3 linked regions of the Arabidopsis thaliana genome follow. The protein of the gene in region 2 interacts with the protein of the main gene of each other region in a pairwise test. Each region holds a gene or a part of one and is shown on either strand. Other genes may lie near its edges.

Region 1 (9,180 bases), 9.4 Mb from region 2:
TTGATTCTTCACATTTTTCTCGGTTAAACTTATTAGTTTGACTTGATGACGAAGCATCTTTTTAAAGTTCTTCTTCTTTGCCCCTGCGATATGGGTGGGTGACCCAAATTTTCAATTTCATCATCCTATACTTCGTTTACATTTTCCACGATCGCAGTTATAAGTTATGGGTAGCCTCTTACTTCTAATTAAATTAAAAAACGTTGTTCTCTTTTGATTATTTCTTCTTTTGTTACCGACAAAACCTAATTAAATGCCATTAACGGTCCTCTTGGACCCAAACGAACTATATAATTATGTTCAACTTTTTTCTAGGCTCTTCTACAATTGTTTGAATATTGACATTTCGTTAAATCGTTTTTCGTGGTTTTTCATACTTACTTTGACGACGTGAATCATGCATGATATAATTGTCAATGGCTCTCTATCTAAAAGTCAAAGTCTTAAAAACTGGAATATATTTGATTATTATGAGAAACATCTTCTTCATATATAAATTTGACGTAAAAATATAATTTGTGTATCGATCATTGTTAAATCGCGTCTCGTATTATTGAGTTTCTGACAGGAATTTACTCATGCTTTAGTAAAAATTGTATGATTAATTAATCAAATCATACATATTACTCGACTCCCACTCAAAAATTTCCAATTCTCAACGTAACATGTCAATAACATCTACTTCAGAATTATCTATCAATAGAAAATTTGTAGAAGTATACCATCAACATATAAAAAAACTTATGAAAAAATCGACAAGAAACGGATTTCTCTTAGGAGCAGTCATTTCCTTAGGAGGTACTTAATGAGGTATGATGATGTTACATACATTGGGATGAAATTTTGATAAAGGAATTAGTTTAGTAGAGATCGATCAATGGCAAAACGTATCACATCAGGGATATGCATGGGTGCAAAACTGCAAGTGATCAGCAGTGTGGAGCTTCAACAACTAATGCCACCGACGCAAAATATAACACGGTTTAAAAGATATTACCACCATATATGCATGAATGGAGCATGCGTGTATGAAACTAATATATTATTCTATACTCATACAAAGTAATTCACTAATTCATTTGACCACACTCTTTTTAGATATATTAAACAATGTGATCTTACTTTACGACTAACAATTGTAATTGCTAGGTACAATGCATCTAAAGCTCTTCTAGCAATTTTAAAATAGTTTAAGAACTTCCTTTTTATTTTCATTACATAAGTGTTTCAATATTTCAAGGAAATGTCACAAATTAAAGCATTTCATGCCGTTTCTGCATATCGATAATATAGTCAATTAAAATGATTGTAGAATGCAACATGATGTATACTAACTAGTATTCCGTTTATCTATCTGATAAGCACCATAACTAATCTGGTTCAGGTATGAAAAAGCAAACCAGTCCGGTTAGAGCTGGTTTGTTCTTGTACAGACTGTTGCTGTAAGTAAGAAGAAGGGCTTAAACGTTACACATTCAAATAAGGTAGTCGTTAAATACAGTGTGGAAGTTGTTGAAGTGGACAACTTCTGAACATATATTTCGAGGACTTAATAGTTGATTATATTCCTACCAAACCTTTTTGTTTTTACATGACCTTAACATTCAATCAATAGTTTACCCATGAAAAAACCTCTCTGTAAAGAACTTTTTTCTTATTATTGTTTTTCTTTTTGGACAATAGAATTTTATTTTTTATAATTTAAAAAAGGGTTGTTGCGTTGGGCCTAAACAAAGTGATGTTGAAGGGAAGCTTAAAATGAGTAATTTGGGTAACAAAATCGGAAATTTTATTAGATTCTGGGCCTCAGTTTTAAATAATGAATTCAAATTTGTTGTGTTTTTCAACTTTTGACTCATGAATTTGGCTCCGATAGTCGCAACATATTTCATGTGTTTCACTAAATTTCATTATTTATTAATATCTATAGAAAGGTATTTGGGCCCAAAAAAAGTTATGGGCCGAAAATGAGTAAAATATATATTAAATATTCGCATATGTTTTTGTAAACTTTTTTCTTACAAACCTCTCCGAAATTAGTCTCACACTCTCACGCAGTCTTCATATAAATATTCTGTCAATGTCTTTAATAACAGAAAAAAAAAATTGTTACTGTTATTGTAAGTTTATCTCTCAGCAGGTGACGCTATTCTACAAAATGATTTGAACATTTTCATTTTTATATATCTTGAAAAGAAAATTTATAACAAGTTTTATAAACGTTAATCTTAATTGATTTAAAAAAAAAAACTATACACAAAGTTTGAAATCTGAATTCAATTCAACAGTTCGTAAGATCTTATTTCAGAGATTGCTTTCTTTGTTTTTTTTTATATTTGTATTGTGAATGTGTAGAATTTTATTTAATATGCTTTTAACACATAAACACTCCTCAAAAAATATTATAAGTTTCCAGCCGCTTAAGCATACATGTCATATTCGGAATCTATACAGCTTAGATCTAATCTGTAATCATCATTCCATATTTGATAGATCAGTTCACTATCTTATTAATTATTACATTGTAATAAAAGTAAAAATATATTTTGGTATACACCCAATGCAAGCTATTACACGTAACTAATCCATATACATATATAACCCTATCCATCCCCCAATAGAAACGAAAAAAAAAAATTACAAAATCGATATACAACCGTCGGCCATATATAACCAAAGACTAAAATTAAATTTTGTTCTTTGTTTTGGTTCAATGGTATGAGAAACTATATACTAATTAAAAACTAGAAACGTATATAATAACCTGTTTCGGTTTCTCCTTCTAGAGAGATGGGTTTATGCAACGAAGTCGGGCAATAACTGAGCCACATATCTCTTCTGGTTCTGTATGTTCATCCCATTGTAAGCCGCGGCAGCTGCCGCTGATGAATGTGCGGTTGTGGTCGAGCTACCACCATTGATGGTGGCGGGTCCATATTCCTCTGTTTCTCCTATTTTCACTCTTCTCCCTATAGGAATCCCATGGTGGGTCTGCATGAAACCCTGATGGTGCGTGGACGACAAGCTATCACAATGAGGTAAACCTAACGTGAGGGACACGCCATTGTTGTTTCCTGAGTACCTTTGCGCCATGAGCTCCTGGTCTGAGACTACATCAAATCTTGACATCTCATCCATTTGGTATTGCCCGAAATTACCCATGAAAGGGTAGCCACCATCTGATCTTATCCCTTGCCGTTCTTCTAGAATCTTCATCGTGAGCTTCTCGTTGGAGCTGAAATCCGCATTTATTGGCTGCATCATTGTCTCGTCGCTGGTTCTTAGTCTCTTGGGGCTTCCTTGCATTCCAGTGACGCCTTCTAGGTCACCGTTGTGATTGGGATTCATATGGTAATTAGTGTCCGCCATTGGGCTCTTTTCTTGGTTACTTGTTGACTTTGAAGCAGAATCTTCGTTGCTTTGATCCAAAGGAGTCTTTTCCATGGATCCCATGTTCTTTGCCTGCTCCTTCATTTCCTCCATGTACATCTCCTCCACCATTGGTTTCCATAACCGAACTCTCGCGTTTATAAACCAGTTCGACACCTAAATAATTAAAGAAAATAAATTTACTTAAAAACGCTTTCTTAAGTAACCTAATAACACAAGAAAGAATCATTTTGAAACGTACCTGGCTACGAGTGAGTCCTGTTTGCTTAGCTAGCATGTGCTTGTCCGAATCCTTAGGGTATCTAATTAAAAGAAAGACAACTTAGAGACTGAGTTTGTGTTCCAGTGATGAAAAGTAGTGCATGTGTGTATAGTGGGTTACTTACGGATGAAGAAAGTGTTCGAAGAGCCAAGCACGGAGAACTGAGACGGCTCGTTCTGGGAGACCACGTTGAGGTCTCCAAGCATTATTGGAAGGATGTTGAATCATTCCCAGTTGTTGAAGAGCTCTTTGCTGTCTCAAGTGGTGGTCCACGAACTTGAGCCTCGACCCCTCAAACCTCCCAACACCAGACACTGAATCTTCCTCCCCAAGACTCTTGTTGGCCGCTTTTATCTGACCAGCGATCGCCTCTTTCAAGCAACGGAACTGTCTTGATATGGTTTTCAATGCTAGCGACGTGTATGACTTCGCTGATCCTATCCCTGCCGCTTGCTCGAACGAAGAGATCACCATCTGCATCTGCTGGTGGTACTGTCTATATCTCTGCTCCACCTTTTCATTTTTCAACCAACAAAGTAACGTGAGTCTTATGAACATAAGTGTACGGTCTACATAAATATAATCTATAAAAGTTGTTAGTCTTTACTAAGAGAGGGACAAAAAAAAAAAGATTTCATCAATCTTGTAAGTTGTCAATTTGAGAAATCGGAAGAGCAAAAAAAAAAAAGGATAGCTTAATATACATATAAAATGAATTGTGAAAATGACTGAAAATCTTAGGGACAGAACTTTTAAGTCCACTTCATGTGTGATATAAGAGAGCACTCAGTATATGTAGGCTTATTGTATATAATACGTATTGTTGTTACCTCATGAAGCATGTTACTAAGTTTTGCTTTCTTCATCTGTATTTCTTGTCTCTCTGCCGTGCCTAGCTCCACCGGACGTTTCCCGGCTGCTTCTGCTCCGCCACCGGAACCTTCTCCTCCAGCGCCGGCCGATGATTCTCCGACAGGTTTATCATTTCCGCAACTACCCTTTTTCGATGAGAATAGTTGGGATTTAGCGTTCATGTCATCGGAATCAGCGTTGACTACTTCGTCAAGAAGCTCTTGTGCTGCCTTCAAGTACTTGGAGCTAACAAGATTAGCTATACCGTTTGTTACCCCCGATCCTGTAGAGCCAGACCCGACCCGGATATCTTCTCCATGTCCGGACCCGAATCCGACGTGAATAGGCTGGTGTTGTTGATGATGTTGCTGTTGCTGCTGCTGTTGAGACGAGAGGGTTAAAGAGAGGCCTTGCTGCGCGCGTGGCGTCTCACACGCGGCTTGCTGGTGAGTGGGATCCACTTGGTGGCTACCGTAGAGACTGTACTGCACGCGCGGAGGATAACCGTGAAGTACGGAGATGTTGTCGGCGGCTGTAATGGAAGCAGCTTCGTGACCTGAGAGTGGTATTCCGACGAACTGCTGGCTCGCGTTTGGCTGCGGCGCGTGGGAATCGAGGAAAACGAAACTACTGTTGTTGTTGTTTGTGTTTGTGTTTGTGTTGTTGTTGTTGCTATTGTTGCTGTTGTTGTTGTTGTTCGAGTCGTTGTCTTGTTGGGTGTACTGAACGTAAGTAGTTGGATTCATGAGGATCAACGTTTGAAGACCACCGTCGGATCCGGCAGAGATCTCCGGTGGGTTTCCGTGAAAGTAAGCAGCCATCTATGTATAATTAGTAGTTGTTACACACGAATGAAACGACGTCGTTTTCTTTGATTCTCTTTCAATTCTTGACCTTCTTTCACCAAGCTGATTGATATCATAGAAAAACAAACAAAAGTATGAAAAAGGAGCAAAAACAAAACCACTATAAGTTTAATATAGATCTGTATATATATACAGTTGAAGCGAAGAAAAAAAGAATCGTGATCACATCAAGAAGACGAAGAAGAAGGGATGAATTATGGATTATGAGAAAGAGAGATTGAAGGATATGGAAATTAAGACATAATCATGATTGAAAATAAAATAATAAAATAATAGAGTTAGAAATTGAAAGAAAAAATGAATATTATAAAAGATGAAGAACCTGGATTGATAGAGATCTGAGGATGCACGTGTTTCATGATCATCTCAAGCTGCAAAAGGAAAGTTACATTAGAGAATTTCTATCAAAGAGAAAGAGAGAGAGACAGACACACACACATACACACGAATATACACTTATATATATATATTTATATGCATACCTGTGTTTGTGGAGATGTGTGTGATTGCTATGTGAGTTTGGTCTCTGTGTCAGACTCAAAGATCTCTGCAACTCTTTTCTTGCTCAAAGGGGAAATATAAAATACATTTAAAAAGCTGAGAAATAATATATAACAAAATAAAAATGACTAATATATATTGAAAGAGAGAGAGGATAAAGAAAGGAGAGATAAAAGATACCCATCTTTTCCTTCACTCATTAATCTTCCCACAGTCCTTAGTACGCCACCATTTTTCATCACTTTCTTTCTATTTTATTTTATTTTAGTGTTGTGGTCGGTATATCTTATAACCAAAGTGGATTTTTTGTTAAATGGGACAATAACCAATGTTTAGGACATGAAATATTCACTAATGTAACTTAATTTTACATTCATATATTGATATATACTTGTATCCGCAAAACAATTTGTGTGTGTGTGTGTGTTTACGTTCACCACCAGCTAATATTACTTATCTTTTTAATTTAATATGCTAAATAGACATTCCAACCATGTTGGAATTTGTTTTCAAAATTGATATTAAACTCTACACTTAGATATAGCTTTATGTAATCATTTAAATTAGTGTACTCTAGAGCAATTGGTTCAACAGTTTTTTTAAATAGAAAAAGATTAATGAATAAATTAAGAAAAAGACATAGCATTCTTTCATACTGCATGTTCAAAAAACCTTTACTTCATGTTATTATCACTATATAGCATGGTGATAAATAAGTTACAAAGTACATATATATCATAGGGAGCTAAAATTCATAAAACTAAGTGAGAAAATGTGCATATAATTGTTTGTTGTTGAAATTCTAGTTTGACATCCAGTACAAGAGATAATATTAAATTCGAAATATTTCAACTTCATAGACATATGTATACATTATTTGGTAATATATATGTGATACGTATCTTATTATAAATTTAGAATTGGTATACTTGAAAAACAGAGGAACTTGTATGATATGACTTTGGCCTTTTCATGTATTGACCAGGTAATGAACCCACATATCATAACAACCAAACACCCTTTATTTAGTTATTTATAGACGATATAATTTCATAGATGAAGTAAATGTTATCACATCAAGACATAGTGATATGTATGTCGTGTCCAATTTAGAATCATATCATTTTCTTTTAAAACATTATATTTGTATTTATTTAATAAAAAGAAATCCCACACGCATCTCAATCCAAATCTTTCTTTATTGATATAACTACAATCCTGAACATAAAGTATTCTTCGGATTACTATTCTTGCAGACTTTTATCATCTAGCAAGTTCAGAGTGTACACTGAGGATGGCAACGAACTTTGAACTGATTATGATTTATAAGTAATAAAATTAGTAATGTTTACGTTACCAAGTTCTTTTCATTTTTTCTTTTTTCAACTGTTTTTTTCTTTAATTTCATTTCATTATTTTCCTCAGCAGATTAACTAAGATACTTTATTTACAAAGTTTTATATTACCACATACACATAAAAACTTAAAACGCATCAACACTTTATTCTAGAAAATGAATAGATTTCATTTTTGAAAGTCCTACCGTTAGTTTATATTTTTCTTCCAAACACTCAAATAGGTTAAGAGTATAATATTTTAAATATACATAATGGGATTAGAGAAATTGAAAACTTATACGGAAAAGTGAATTGTGTCAGAAGATCCAAACAGCACAAAAACGAGGAAACGTCTCCTTCTGCAGAAACCTAAAATATTTAATCACACAAAAATCTAAATTATTGAGAAAGAGAGGAGAGAGGAAGAAAGAAGATGATAACGATAATGATAATGAAGCATGATGGGGAAAGAGTGGGTCCCGTTAAATGTATATTTACTTTTATTTCTTTATTTCATATATTCTTTTAGTTTACCACGTATGTCTATTTTTAAAGGGTATTTGACTAAAAGTATTTTATTTAAAATATAATTAGAAATATAGTAGATAATTTTAGTTGATTAATTGCAAAGAGTGTTTAAGTTCATGAGAAAGTCTTTTTTAGTAACTTGTATTTATTTTATTTATACGATATAGATAATTATAATTTGTATGTAGAACAACAAAAACATATGTGGACAAATTTGCTTATCTTTTTGAATCGTTTACCGTCCACATAAACAAACTACCAGTTATGTAAAATAAATCATCCATAGCGCATAAAAACTGGTATCTTGTTATTTTTCAAAAGCATTTTTGAAACTAGTATGTTCATATTTATACATATCTTATTGTTGATCAAAACAATTGTAGGGTTGGCCTCATGTTTAATAGTCTCACTAAATTTCAAACAACAACACTCAGAAAAAATTGTAATACATTTATTGATGCGTGTTTTTTTAAATTCTAATAAGATGTAAATAGTATTTATTATAATTTTATTTGTTGCGTGAGTAAATATACATGTGGTGATTACCAAATTCCTATCAGTATTGATTTTTTATGGAAAATTTCCTATAAATTATTTTCGTAGAAAAATGAGAGAAAAACCATGTTTCCTACGATTTTGGACGTAGGAAAACGTTAATTTCTTTGTAGTTTGTTTCAAATATTTGTCATTTGTCATTTTTAGTCATTATAAATACTATATCCTAAAAATGGAATTAAAAAATCCCAAACATAATGTGCAAAATAATGCTTTTATATAAAAAACTTGTTTCTTATGTTTTTCTCATTGGAGTGAAATCTTTGATGGATTTCAGTTGTCGAGCTTCTAGTCTTGGTTAAACGAATGCAGTTTGTAGAGACCGTTACTTTGGTTATGCGTACGAGTGTTTTGACCCACTTTCCCAGGTTAGACACCAAACTAGCTAGATTTTGAGCGTGCAGTTGTTACATAACATACGTAATGTGGCTTGGTTTAAATTTTATCATCAATAAGCCAATATTCACGGTGTTATAGTGGTCATTACTATTCGTCGGGTGTGTATTAAATACTCCTAAAATAAGCCCATTTACGCATAATTAGTTTTACTCCAATATAAATTAATCTGGATTGTCTTCTCATTGCGATCGGGTTTGGCATGTTATATGCCTTTGACTAAGTACTGTTTTTTCTTTCTTTATGTCATACGAATTTGTAATATTCGCCATCAACTTGTGTTATTTTTTGTTCAAAAATAATGAAGAAAACTATTTTAGAGGAAGAAATCAAACAAATTAGTCAACAAAAATCTTCTAAATCTGTATTTTCTGAGTTTTCATAGTTTCAACAATTTCATCAGTTTACAATATGTTATTAGAACAACTAGTCGAACATTTCATGTTTTTTTCTGTGTGAAATTTCTGAGTTTTTTTTTTGTATGTGTGAGTTT
Region 2 (7,042 bases):
TGCTGCGAGGAAGACAATGGCACGAATGTTGGGAAATACTGAAACTGCGTTTGATAGTGCACAAAGTCAATTTTGGGTGGTTGATGCGCAGGTATGTTATTCTATAGTGGAGTAATTGATTTTCAGATTAGGGAGCTGATAAGACGTTTTAGCCAGTCAAGCCATTTCCCTCTGGTTTCCTTTTACTGCTGATGAAATCACTTCATCATCATTTTTTTTTTGGGCGTGTGTTTTGGTCCAATAGCTTAAGGAGCTGAAGTTGTGAACTCTTTTTTTTGCACTTAAATCAGGGTCTTATCACCGAAGGCCGGGAAAATATTGACCCAGAGGCTCAGCCTTTTGCTAGGAAGACTAAAGAAATGGAGCGTCAGGGATTAAAAGAAGGAGCAACTCTTGTGGAAGTGGTCTGTTATTCTTTCTATCAATATGTTCATCAAGTATACTAAATCTAATTTGGCAATGAGTCTGGTGTTGGAGAGAAATTCTCCCTTAAAAAAGTTTCCCTGCTTAATACTGACAAGAAACAACGGTTTTCTGTTTCATCTGTGCTAGGTTCGTGAAGTTAAACCTGATGTGCTTCTTGGTTTATCAGCAGTTGGAGGGTTATTCTCAAAAGAGGTAATGAAAGCTGCCAAACGGCTAAACATATCTAGTGCTATGCAACAGAATCAGTGATTTAACTAATTAGATGAGCGCGCAAATGAAATCTAGTATTTCTTCAGTGACCACTGTCTTCATAATCTGGTTTCCATGGTAACTGCTAAGTAGATGAGTGAGCTAGTAGAATGTAGCATAGCTCATTGCTTGCATGATTCTGACATATGGTAGTTGATTTTTGAAGTCATTGTTGGGATATTGTGTTGAAGGTTTTAGAAGCAATGAAAGGTTCAACCTCGACAAGGCCTGCTATATTTGCAATGTCAAACCCCACAAAAAATGGTAATTTGTCTTCTTTCTTTGCCATAAAATGTGTTTTGCGGTTATTTGTGATTCTTTTTTGGATAGATGTAATAGGTACTTGTGTTTTGAATAACAGCTGAATGCACGCCTCAAGATGCATTTTCGATATTAGGCGAAAATATGATTTTTGCGAGTGGAAGCCCATTCAAGAATGTGGAATTTGGTATGTATGAGGACCTCTGTATCATTTAGCATACGCCATTTTATATGAGGCTTTTTCAAATATTAGTACCTTTTCTTGTGGCAGGAAATGGTCATGTAGGACATTGCAACCAGGGAAACAACATGTATCTATTTCCAGGGTTGGTTCCTCTTGTTTATTGTCCGAAAGAATTGCATACATTCTTGAATTGATACATTAATTGTCATGAAATAAATTGATTTTCTAATCCTGTAAAATTTATTGTAGTATTGGACTTGGCACTCTTTTATCTGGTGCTCCCATTGTCTCCGACGGGATGCTTCAGGCCGCATCCGAGTGGTAAGCTCCTTTCTTTACCTTTTTCATTTATCATTCCTGATTTATTCTCAACTAAAGCTGAAGTGAGTACCATGATATATAACTACGGACCAAATTTAAATGATTATTAAGAATGTCCGCATATTTGGCTGATGTCACGAACTATAACATACCCCCCATCCACGAGACAGGAACCACAGTAGTTCGACATGTTCTCTCCAAATGGTATTCCCAATAGTAGGCCTTCGGTTGAGGTTTCATATTGTAGTTAGTGTAAAACTCATATTTTTAAGGAGACCATGAAAATAAACAAGTCCCGTAATTTATGAATGTGGAATCATGACATTGTTCTGCTAAACTACTGCAGCCTAGCAGCATACATGAGCGAAGAAGAAGTGCTAGAGGGGATTATATACCCTCCAATATCAAGGTAAGAGTAACACAATCAAAGAACATCCTTACTGTTACATAAGAAAATGTTTTGATATAGTTGCTACATTTGGCATGTGGAATTGAAATTTCAGGATACGAGACATAACAAAAAGAATAGCAGCTGCGGTGATTAAGGAAGCGATTGAGGAGGATTTGGTTGAAGGATATAGAGAAATGGACGCTCGAGAGATCCAAAAGCTGGATGAGGTAACAATTCAGCTAATGACTTGCTTTAATATAATCATAAATGATAGAAAAAGAAAAGATGTCAAAACAACATCCCATCTTTCACGTGTTTTGGACTCCTGATCATAAAATCGTATTCTACGAAGAATGTCGATCGGGTTTGATTATATGTAAAGAACAGAAGAGTGTTTACCTGATTTCTCACTTAGAGAAAATAAAGACTAAACCAGAAACTAAGCCTAAATGTTAGTTATGTTGACGCGGTCTTGTGTATTCCGCAGGAGGGGCTGATGGAGTATGTGGAAAACAACATGTGGAATCCAGAGTACCCGACTTTGGTCTACAAGGATGACTAAGTTTGGTTCCCAAAATGAATAAGTCTACTTTCTCTTATTTATATGTAAAAATTTATAATTGGGGTTGCTTTATACCCAATCAAATTCATAGCTACTGCTTTCTCTTGTTCTTATGTAAAAAAAAAAAAAATATATAATTGGGTTGTTTGTTATCCAATCAGATTCATAGCTTCCACTTTCTCTTATTTATATGTAAAAAAGAAGTTATATTCAATCAGATTCATAGCAGCAACATTTTACATACATCGTATTAGAAATGCATTTACTTTTATAACTTATAGTTTCAGGTCAAGATACTAAGAGTAGTGAGTGAGGAACAATTTGAAGTTCTTTAATTCAAGCAATCATCTTTATCAATCATAACATGAGTAAATGAATGAGAAACAATACACCATTCTCTTCCAATTAAGCTATTCTCTACTGGAAACCTTATAAGCTAGACCACTAACTCTCAAACCGTAGGTGGTAAGTATTCTAATCCAATTAGCAGCATGGAATTAGTTTCTACTGTTGTAAATCATGAGAGATTGCTATATTTGCTCGAGACGAACTAATCCGGAAAATATATGAAGACGAATTTCTGTTACACAAAACCATGGGTATACTGAAAATATCAAAATGTACGTGTCTAGTGTCTATATAGCAACAAATATATATAAGCATCAAGATGTACTCACAAAAGGTAAAGAAAAGCATATAATATGTGAAAAGAAAGAAGAAAAAAAGCAAATGTCTCTCTCACCAGTGAATTGAATCAATGTTATTATCATGCTGCTGCGGGAACTGTTTCTGCAATGATTTAGGAGAGAAAGCAATATTGGGAAAAGGTTGATGATCCACTGGTAGGAATGGAGAAGGATGATGATGAGAGATGTAACTAGTACATGACATGTTGTTATTGTTTTGGTCTTGTTCTTGAAACTGATAATTATGATGATTCTGTTGTTGAATCTGCTGTTGTTGTTGTCTTTGTTGTTGTTGTTTTGGGCTGTTAACTTTCTCTCCTTCGGTGTCTCTATATTTGCAGAGGTAGACCTTTAATGGAGCCACGTAGTCTTCGAAACCGAGAGTTGTGATAGCCCAAATGATATCATCTCCATTGATGGTCTTCCTCTTTTCTCTTTGACACTTGTCAGAAGCTTCACCAGTGACGAAACTAATGAACTCCGAGACACATTCTTGAACGGTTTCTTTAGCGTCTTTTGAGATCTTACCGTTACCGGGAAGAACTTTTTTCATGATCCTTCCGACATTCGCAATGGGAAGAAACCGGTCTTGTTCTTTGTTGTTGTTGTTGTTGTTGTTGGTCTTTGAAGAAGGGCTTCCTGGATTTGTTTCAGCTACTCCAGGAGACCCATGATCTTCTTCTGGGCTCTCCTCAGTCATATCTCTATCTCTTTGTTTTTTTTTGTGATTGATGTTAACCACATGTGATCAATCTGATTTTATGGTTAAGCTTAGTGCATGAAACTAGGCAACTTTTCTATTTATGGATACCTTGCCAACCAAATTTGGAACTCCATGCGACTCGCTCCTTTTTTTTTTTTTTTTTTTTTTTCTTTGTTATTTGCCAGATAATAAAGAAAAGTGTAAGAAAATAGCAATCATGTAACATATTGTCATCAAATAGTGTTTTCAATTTATTATTTTCCGTAGTATGTTTATTTAGTATGTAGACAACTATAAATTATCATGTCTCCATAATGCTTTGATTTATTGTATTATAGTAATTTCCTAAACTCTAGCCTGGTAAATATATATGGTGGTTATTTATCCGAGAATATTACACGTAAAGGCACTATTTTGAAACTTTGGCCACAAATAGGCACTTTAAAAGCATTAGTCACTTTAACTCAGTAGAATTACCCCTTTACCCTGAAATCGTTAGTTTAACAAAACCTAACAAATTTAGCCGGTTTTCGGTTTAATTTTTTAATCTCAATCTCTAAACTAAAACCAATTTGTGAGAAACCTCTTTTTCTCACCCAATCCTTCACGACGATTTTACAGTTTCATTTATCTGGGCAGTTAAAATCATCACAACGACGATAACATCATCTCGACTCCGGCGATCATCCCAACGAGTTTTCTACCGGCAAAGTCATTTCCTCGTCCCTCTCCCGTCGTTATCGTCAACAAAGCTTTCAATCGGCCGACATTAATTCGTCCTCTCCCGTCGTCGTCGTCAACACTTGTTCTCCCGTCATGGTCTTCATTTTCTTGTCTCTCAATCGATTCGTCGTCTCCGGCGTGTGCTAGTAACTTCTACTCGGTCCTCAAATGCAAGGTATTAATCTTCTCCAATCATTTTATTTGCTCTAATTATTCAACCGTGTGCTAATTTTATTTATAATATCCAACATTGTGAAGAGCTAATAGGTGAAGACATGAATGCTACGTTAGGTGATATTTCAAAAATGTTAATCACAAGACCTTATCTTCTTACCACAGACTTCGGCTTGCTTATCTCCTCATTGTTGACGGTGTCCTCGTATCCTCAAACCAACCTATTACGTCTACATTAAAATATGTAGAGATGTTGGCAGATTTGGAGAAGTTCCTTAACTGACTGAGGTCTACGTAACTGACTGTCTATACACATGTGGATAAATGGTCAAAGAAACATGGATAATATACTTTGGATTGACGTTTATTGTTCATGTATAAACTTATGTATTAGTATGAAACTATCATGTGAGTCTTTAGATGATCATGGACTGGACTGCTTGGACAATCATTAATGGACAAATATGTCTTTGATTTGCTGCGAATATGTTTATAGCTCGATAAAATTGTATCAACATGTCTATATACATGTGGATAAATGGTCAAAGAAACATGGATAATGTACTTTGGATTGATGTTTATTTGTAAATCTTAATATAAATGTCATCCAGTCATAGTGAATTATCCAATCAGACAAACGAATTAATACAGTTATGTTGTGGATGGATTCATATGGATACATTAACAATTATCTTTATCTTTCAACATGAAAAGCGTTTGATATGGATACATTAACCATATCGATAATCTTATCTCTATATTGCTGTTGAATGTTTTAGTGGTTTGTATCATATTATTTGTTTGTTCCATCCATAACAACATTTTTTCAAGTGCATCTAACATTTGATATCAGTTAACAATGCGAAGAAAAATAAATAATTTTGTGTATTTTGAACTATTGTTTATTTGGTAAATCATTCTAGCTAATTATGTTTACAAATACGTTAAAACTTAATATAAATGTCATCCAGTGATAATGAATTATCCAATCAGACAAACGAATTAATACATTTATATTGTGGATGGATTCTTATGGATACATTATCAATTATCTTTCTCTTTTACCATGAAAGACAAATCTAAAATTCCTTCTACCGGAAATATTGAGATACTGTTGTATAGCGGGAATATTCCCACCATCAGGTTTTAAACTATATTGTTTACAATATGATCAAAAAAAAAAAACATATGCACACTTAGAGACAAAGAGAAGCTCGTCAGCTCTCCCGTCTCAACCAGCTCGTCAGCTCACCCGTCTGAAGCATCTCGTCAGCCGGTCCGTCTCAAGTAGCTCATCAGATCGCCCGTCTCAAGCAGCTCGTCAGCTCACCCATCCGAAGTATCTCGCCAGCCGGCCCGTCTCAAGTAGCTTATAAGCTCGCCCGTCTCAAGCAGCTCGTCAGCTCACCCGTCCGAAGTATCTCGCCAGCCGGCCCGTCTCAAGTAGCTTATCAGCTCGCCCGTCTCAAGCAGCTCGTCAGCTCACCCGTCCGAAGTACCTCGTTTGCCCATCCATCTTGAGTAGCTCGTTTACTCGTCCGTCCGAAGTGTCTCGCCGACTTGCCCGCCCAAAGTAACTAACCTACTCGCACGTCTCGAGAAGCCATTCAACTCGTCACTTATCCGCCGGATCATCCCTAAAACTGCCTAACTCGACATACGACCTTCCTCCAGTAATGGCCTAGCTCGTTTATCGCGATATGAACTACGTGTGGCTTGATCCCTTTCTAAGGGTACGTAGGCAGCCTTTTGCAGTTTATCTTTTATTGGACTTGATATGTTGGATACTAGTTTTTTTGCCGAAACAATTTCTTAAATTTTTTCCATACGAGTTTCTTGTTTAATGGTGCTCAAGTCAAACCTCCAGCACCAACCTGTAGTAAATGCAGTTATCGATGGAGATGATATCATTTACAGAGACTACGTGGATATCAGTATCGCTGTTGGTACCCTCCACTCTAGTTATTCTAAACCTTTCAGATAACTACAACTTCCATCATATTAAGATTTTCAAAGTCTGTAAAAAATGGCTATTGCAGGCCGATACTAATTCAGGGAGAGATTCCTAATCGACGCAAATAGGCCTCTCCAACAAATCTCTCTTTCTCTCTATCACACTCTTTATCACTCTCTGCTATCGTAGATCGGAGAATCTCCTCTGAGAGCTCTAATCTCTCAGTAATCTTCACCGCGTGTCCGGATCTAATTTTCCTGTAAGTAATCTCATTTTCAAGATTTATCTGCGATTTCTTCTCTTGATGCTAATTTTCCTAATTTTCCCCGAAGAATCGAGACCATTATGTGGAGAAGAATCGTTTCATCGCATCTTAAATCCATCTCCGCCGTCGGGTCCTGCGCGGCT
Region 3 (7,766 bases), on a different chromosome or scaffold from region 2:
ACATATTTCTTCGAACGTATACCAAAAATTCCCAAAGAGAGAAAAAGGCTGTGTGATAGAAGTCACTAAATCAAAGGAATGTTTCATCATGACCAAAAATCTTAATAATAGGAGTTTAAAACTAAGTATATTATTTTCATGTAAATAAATTAGAATATATATAGTTCTTACTGAATGTTAGAAGTTATATAACTTATATTGAAACAAAAACAAAATAAATCATTCAGTTTATTCCAATGACGAGAAAGAACAAAAGATAGAAACCAATTCCTCTATTAAATAAGAGATTCGGTGAACTAACTAAAATATAATTTCCATTTTGTTCTATTCATTTAACTAGAGGAAAAAACATATTAAAGAAACCTCATACTCTAATAAGAGATTTTTTTTGTTAAAACATATCTAATAAGAGATCAGCAGATCAGATGAATAAGTTAGAACTTAAAAACATAGACTGTATATAAATATAAAGATATATGCATAAGAAAAAATATTCATTTATTTACTACCAATTCCTATACCACCTAGTCAATAAATCTTACGGACACCGATACGCTCGCAGTCAAGTGGATCTAGCAATGTCGGACCAGATATTCTTTAATATTTTTCCGAGGACTAGATAATGATGATCGTTAGTTGTTCTGATACTTTTTAATCGATAATGCATGTAATTAAGAACGAATCAAATATTAGAATGTATATCGCGAACTGGTAGAGAATAATATCCTTTTTCGCGCAAGGGAAAGTCAGTTACCGGTGGAAGGAGGAAGATATACAATATGGTCGGTTAAATTTTAGAATATGATTCGACTGAAATGTGAAAGAGTTATATAGGGTTGGCTACCTATTTGGACGTTTAGGAAGTAAAAAAAGGCTACAGCTTAAACTAGCATATATGTACATGACTATTTTGATGTACATAGTAACATATAGGTCAACACGGTCGAGTACGATATTATTGTGTGTTCCGACTTCCGACCATCTCATAAATCAATGAAAAATGTACTCAGCCATATCTCGCTCATTCGATACCACGTGTGTAAGACTACATAGTGCTTTACTGTAGTTTCTAATTTTAAAAGAAATGGATCATGGATGGGATAATGAGCAGAATTTTCAATACTTGAATTCAAATTTGCCCGTAAATACTGTATGATTTCTACCTAGATATTCCATTGGGAATCCACCAAAATTAATAATGGAATCGTTAACCAACAAGATGGATTTGCTTCCCTTTGACCCAACAAAAAAGTCACTGTTTCCTCATTGTCTCTTTAAAACGCACATGACTCGACAGTGTCGGTCCTTCATGCGAACTTATACTACTATTTTAATAAATTCTAAAAGTAAAACCGTCCGGGGGATGGCTTATATTATATAGTCTAGTTTATAGACAGAAACTGATATAAATCAACTTACACAGAGGTTTGATTTACATTCAATGGTCATATATTATCAGTTACAAGACTATTGAAGAAACATAGTAAGAGAAAGAAGATGAAGTAGGTGCAAGAGGGAAGAGTCTGTTTATAGAAATTTAATTCAGTTGGTTATAAACTCATAAGTCTTTGTAGTCTCATAATTTGTTTGATCTTGTTCCATATTGGACTCTTCAAAAGAACTTAATGGTAATTGACTAATTGACCACTGTTTTCTCATAACTTGCTCAATGGATATTAAATCCAGCGCTGGCCTGTAAATCAATGTGCATAATTGCATCATTCATATTCAACTAGTTTGAGTTGAAATTTGATATACATATCATCAATTACGTCACGAAACATAGTAATATGGTGGCCATGGACGATGCAGGGTATGGACCAAACAAAGCATCGACCTCGTTAACCACAAAACTGTCTCCCTTGAACATTGATACCACACACACAGTGACACAAATATATGCCATATGAAATTGAAAAAAAAGCTCCATATATACGTATGTATAATAAGGTCAAAGGTTGTCTAACTATAGAGACAATATAAGCTGGCTTGTGGTGATACTTAAGGACAAAGCAAATGTCACAACTCACAAATCGGGTGTGTCTTTTGTAAGTTAATACTATTAGTCCATTTCTAACAGAAAACCGTTGTTAAAATACGTTGACCAAGTCAAAGATGTTATTTGACCAACTGTCGCTTCTTACATTACAAGCCTTTTAACACTTGGTCTTTTTTTTTTTTTTTTTTTTAGAGTATAAGTTTCGTTTTTTAAATACTTCTTGTTATTCACAATAATTTTTATTGAACCATGTAATCTATCTATGTATAGAAAAGTTTAATTTTCTCTATAATTAAAATCTTCATGGAAATTTAATATTGCATTTCAATTGATTTTACTTACATAATTAACTAGTAGTACAATTTGTGATTGATTAATACATATATAACACCAATAACTCTCTTCTTCATTAATACATAAATAACACTAGTTACCAATAACTCTCTTCTTCTTCTTTTTTTCTCCAATCACCCTCTTGGAATAAATAAGATTTAACTGATTAACTTCTTCCCATTATACAGATTTCATGACTTACTGACTCATGTATAACCAATTCTTCCATACATAAATCTAAGTTTCTTGTTAACAGAGCTTTTACGTAAAACATTTGAAAATAATGTTTAAGAAAAAAAATTGTTGGAAACAAATATTTTTGGTATAAATGCCAAAAACAAATGGTTTGTCTGGGATGGATCACGGAACAGATGAATCGGCCTAGCATAAAAGTTGCCAAAACGGGCTACTAGCCGGCCTGGCTCGGCCCACGTAACATCCCTAACTAGTAGTTACAGTTGGAAGTTGGAACATGGCACTTGACTTTTTAGAACCAAAGTCCAATTACATTTGCTCAGCAAATCTATCAGGCAGAGACATGGAAACGAAGGCAATGGCATTGGTAGATGTCTTCCCAAGATGCACAACGAGAAGTGAGCATGGCTTATTCAGGAGTATGCATTGTCCTTTGAATAATCAAGCCATGAACTCGAGCGAGTTGAGATCAGATTCGATAGTCACTGAAAGTTCCTGATAACCCATATCAATTCAGAGCAGCTCATAGCAAAGTGAGGGAGCAAGAACCCTCTAGAGAGTGGCCGATCTCTTTCAATCTAGTAAGAGGCAAGTCCAAGATCCAACATACTAAGCAAGTGACTCTATAAAGGACTTCATGTTCTGCACATCTTCTTTTGTTGTTAGATTGCTAGGCGGCTTCATAAGCTTCCAAAGCCCTGCGGGATGTCGTTTATTCACTCGGACATTCTCTTTTCTCTTTCCAAAGATTCTTTCACACTCTGGGTATGGCATCACGTACAAATTATAAAATCTTTTCATGCTTGGTTTGATCAAACCTTTCAATCCAATATCACAGCCAAGCCCACCTTTTAGTTTCAAGTAATCAATGACATTGTACCGTGGAACGATCTGCTTCTGAAGATTAACCCCTAGATACTCCGGTACATCAGCTAAACAATTGATATGAAATCCCATTCTGTTAGTTAAAAACTCAATCTTCTTCTCTATATCCTCTATCTCATATAAGATCACCCTCGGCTCTTTCCATACAACCTTGAATGCATCTCTACGAATCAACCCGTATTTGCATAAACAATCAACTCTGAGCTTCACTTCAAACCCAGCACGAAATGCTCCTTCGCTGATTATACTAACTCTAATCACTTCCCGGCATTTCAATGTGTTGATCAACTCCAAACACCGCGGAAGCTCACCTAACTCCAAACCAAGAACTCTCGGTTCTCTAGCAATCTCTTTCTTTACATCATCCTTACTAAACCCCATCTTCATGAACTCATCAAGCAATGGCTTAAGTCTAGTCTCAGTACCAATCCCTAGAACTTCAGGAAAAACGTGAAAGAACCTCTCAATGTTATCTCGAGCAATGCCAATTCCAACTAAAAACTCAATCTTCCTACGAATTTCAATCTCATTCACTAAAAGAACACCAGGGAATGAACTTAAAATCCTACTCACAGTACTATCACAAAACCCTAAACTCTTCAAAACCCTTACGCACTCATTAAACTTATCTGGACCAATCCCAATTCTACTAGAATGTTCAAGGACGCTCTTAATCGCAGAAGATGAGACGACACCGTGTTTACCGCAATTAGACAGAGGAACTCTCCATTTCCTCAGAAACTCTGATCGCAGAACATTAGGGCAATCGGAAATCAACGAAACGAGTGATTTCTGAGGGATTTTCAATGACAATAGGATGCCGAGAGAAATTTCGGTTTCTACTAAGTCCGAATTCAATAGGTGATTGTTTCTTGAGAGGAAGTGCTGAAGAGAAGAAGGAGGGAAACCATACCTCTGAAGGAGATTCGCGAGTAAAATTCGTTTCCTGTAGTGAGATTGATTGATAGGTGTGAGAATTCGTGAGGATAGTGATCGAATCTGGTTGAATAGGGTTATTGGGTAGTCACGGAGATTGATGAAGGTTTTGAGTTTTGAGGCCATTTTTTTATTTAGTTTCAAGGCACTCAATCACTGTACGAAGGAGGAAGAAAGACGATGACGACGTGTACAAAATTAAGATTATTATTTGTACCCTCAATGTTTCATCTTATTCCGAAAATGCCACCCACTATTTGTTTTGTAAGACATTTAACCTTGTCTTGAGTGGGATTGTGGTTTAGAGATGGGAACGTCATGGTTTAATGAAAGTTGGAAGTTGTATATTTACAATTTCCCTAAACCGGAGGGAATCTTTTGTTTACCTAAAAAAAGAAAGTTGTTACTTCTTGTTACATTTACATCACTATTTTATTGCACTTAAAAGACCTGAGTTTTTGAAACACACACTTTTCATGAATAATCAGAAGAAGTTGATGCTATTCTCTTATTTTTGCGCCATTTGGTAAAACATTTGAAATTAGTTTCGAAATGCATGCGATTTTCTGTCGCAGGGTCGCCGTCGGTTGCTCTTCCCCGCAGCTAACCAAATTGGTGACGAAGCAGGCGAGCCAGAGTCGCCATTCCCTGAGCCATCTTCTTCCTTTTGATCTCTCTTCCCGCTTTGTTCCTCCTTATGTTGTATCACGATCGGCGAGAGTTCATGGATTCTTCGCAGGGAAGTTGGGAAACACCAATCTGAAGCTGAAATTCGGAAATGTTATGGAATCTAGAGCTGGGTTCTTCAGTTCTGAGCTTCCTAGTCATGGATTCGAGTCTGGTGGTTTTACTGGGTTTCAAAAACGTGGATGGTATCGTTTCTTTTCCTCTCCCTTTTTGTTTTTCAAAGTAAAGTTGGAACCTTTCCTAAGAAAAATTCTGAGTTCCCCTTTCTCTATGGTCCTCTGTTTTATATTGTACCTATTTGTTTCCAAGTAAAAACTACATTTTTCAAAGATAAATTTGTCTTCACCATAAAATTTCTGGGTTTGACAGGATTTATTTGGTAAAGCATCGACCTTTTTTCACAACTCTCTTTAGCTTTTCTGGTCAATTGTACGTTTGGCTCTTCCAAGTAAAAGACGTGTCAGGATTCAGAGAAATTAGTAGGCTTTTTTTTTCTTCCATTTCTGCGTAGTTCTTGATTTTGAGCAGCACAAAGCTCTTTTGATGCTTTTCTCTTTATAGATAAGACATAGAATAGCAAGCTGGACACTGTTTAGACCTTCTCCTTTAAAAAATTGTTCTCCTACATCAAAAATCTTAGATTCTTTACCTGCTCCATTTGATTTTGGATACTAATACCAAAAAGAAAAAACCACTTTATTGGTTTAACTCTGGCAGGAAGTCTTGGATTAATGGAGCTAATGGTGTAGTTTTTGGATTGGTAATAGCTAATGCTGCTGTATTTACAATGTGGCGGGTTTTAGGCAAGGACAATATGTGGATGGTGAAGAATTTTATGGTCTGACCTCATCAAATTCTAACAACTTTTTTAAAAATAAAAAATCTACATGTATTATTAACCATATGGTATTTGGACAGTTATCAAGGTACAGTTTTATGACTGGACGTATACACACGCTGATCACTTCGGGTTTCAGTCATGTTGGAGCCACTCATATCATCTTGAATATGATGGGGCTTTGCTACTTCGGAGCCAGAGTAAGATTTTTTCCTTGTTTCCATATATTAATTTTCGTAAACGAAATGAGAAATGCTTTCATTTGTTTCCTATGAAGTATGAACCGGCTACTTACACTTAATCTGGCTCATCTAAGGACCGTCCTTAGTTCGTTTAAAAAGAAAAACTTGCTACCTATTGATCTTTATATCGAATCCCATTTGTTCTTAGATTGCAAGAAGCTTTGGGCCGCGCTACCTTTTGAAGCTCTACTTTGCTGGAGCACTTGGTGGCTCTGTTTTCTTCTTGAGTAGTCATGCTCTCTCGGTTATATCACTCAAGGTATAGTGCAACAAGCATAATTTTCTCATTTTCCTAACCATGCTAGGTCCACAGATGTGTAGTTTTTCCAGTGCATTTGTACTACGTACATGTTCTCTATGTGTTTGTGAGGTTTAGACGAAATGCTTTACCTTTGTTATTGGTTAATCAATCATACAGGGCCAAAGAGTTGTCCCTAAGGATCAATTAAAAGTCCCCATTGGGAAGCTGGTATGTTTTTTCACTCATCCAGTTAAATTATTTTTTAAAAGTATAAACAGACTGGAACAGAGATGCACACGCTCATGTTTTGGATGGTCAAACTCTTTCCAATTTGTGTACAGGGTGCTAATGGACCTGTGTATGCCATTACGCTTCTCGATATGCTCCTTTACCCAAAAGTTACTACATACTTTGGGTTGATGCTCCGAGTGCCTGTATTTGCTGTAAGGTCTCTCTAGATACTCGTCATAATGAGTGAAACGTTTCTGAATCATCTAAAATACTCTCACTCTCTTAATCTTCAGGGAATCTATAGCTTAGGACTCAACATTATAAAGATGCTAGAGGTGTGTATGATGTGAGAATCTAATCCACATTTGCTTTGAGACTATATGACTATATCTTAAACCAGACCAACTTTTTTGGGAATGCAGGGGAAAAACAACAATACCTTGACTAGTTTGGATCAGTTGGGAGGAGTTGTAGTTGCAGTCATTGCGTGGGCAAGGATAAGGAAAGGTCGATTCTGCTACTGATTGATTATTTTACTTTCTCCATCAAACCTTGGACTTGCTGCAAAAGATTCATATAACTTGTCCCATCATTATACTACTGGAGTACTGGTTATGTTAAACTTTGTGACAATGAGATTATTATTATTACTATTTTTTACGTTTGGCCTGCACATTTTGGAAACCTTCGTTTCCAAAGTAAACTAATTCTTATTCTCTTGTCGTCAAAATTTGAACATTGAAGATTATCTTAAGGTTATTGTCTTGACATTTATTCCAAGTCTTCTCACCAAGCTATTGTTTTCTTTTGAAGTCAATCACAAGGATTATACAGAAAAACAACGAATTATCTATTCCTTTAAAATAGACAAACCTAAACTATAAAGACTAAATCCTTTTTCCTTACAAATAGTACTAACATGCAAATAAATACTTATGAGAATATCCAAAAAGATTATAAAAAATTATTGTGAAAAGACAAATGCAAATTTTTCCTCATTTTGTCAAGTTGAGGATCTTTGTGACTTTGTTTAAGTTAGCCGTTTTATAGAGAACAGAGAGAGAGTAGATTCTAGTCACTTGGGTACATTCTAGGAATTGTTCAGTGTCCAATTACATAATTGTTTTGATGTCGAGTAAATCTCATTATGTGAGTTTGTGAAAGACTACTTAACCGATT

Evidence for each region. Proteins that work in one complex are often made in the same cells at the same time.
Region 1: the proteins of NF-YB7 (region 2) and BLH1 interact in a two-hybrid assay, tested with the Arabidopsis thaliana proteins (one large-scale study listed by BioGRID).
Region 3: the proteins of NF-YB7 (region 2) and AT1G74120 interact in a two-hybrid assay, tested with the Arabidopsis thaliana proteins (one large-scale study listed by BioGRID).

The regions. Positions count from the first base shown.
Region 1 is NC_003071.7:15,086,375-15,095,554, forward strand, and holds BLH1 (BEL1-like homeodomain 1), read right to left. Parts: upstream 6,042-9,180; 5' UTR 5,853-6,041; intron 5,805-5,852; exon of another isoform or gene 5,742-5,804; 5' UTR 5,693-5,741; exon of another isoform or gene 5,413-5,692; 5' UTR 5,326-5,412; coding exon 4,483-5,325; exon of another isoform or gene 4,166-4,482; coding exon 3,777-4,165; intron 3,693-3,776; coding exon 3,632-3,692; intron 3,547-3,631; coding exon 2,797-3,546; 3' UTR 2,388-2,796; downstream 1-2,387.
Region 2 is NC_003071.7:5,652,710-5,659,751, forward strand, and holds NF-YB7 (nuclear factor Y, subunit B7), read right to left. Parts: upstream 3,810-7,042; 5' UTR 3,781-3,809; coding exon 3,133-3,780; 3' UTR 2,682-3,132; downstream 1-2,681. Other genes in the region: NAD-ME1 (NAD-dependent malic enzyme 1), read left to right, coding at 1-91, 291-404, 553-618, 867-939, 1,037-1,123, 1,208-1,262, 1,370-1,441, 1,788-1,850 and 2 more.
Region 3 is NC_003070.9:27,868,787-27,876,552, forward strand, and holds AT1G74120 (Mitochondrial transcription termination factor family protein), read right to left. Parts: upstream 4,547-7,766; 5' UTR 4,475-4,546; coding exon 3,137-4,474; 3' UTR 2,388-3,136; downstream 1-2,387. Other genes in the region: AT1G74130 (Rhomboid-related intramembrane serine protease family protein), read left to right, coding at 4,901-5,220, 5,753-5,873, 5,954-6,073, 6,264-6,374, 6,534-6,584, 6,698-6,799, 6,881-6,922, 7,010-7,111. UniProt on the Arabidopsis thaliana protein: Transcription termination factor required for mitochondrial NAD2 intron 3 splicing and normal membrane respiratory chain Complex I activity. Essential for normal plant growth and development. Binds to RNA but not to double-stranded DNA.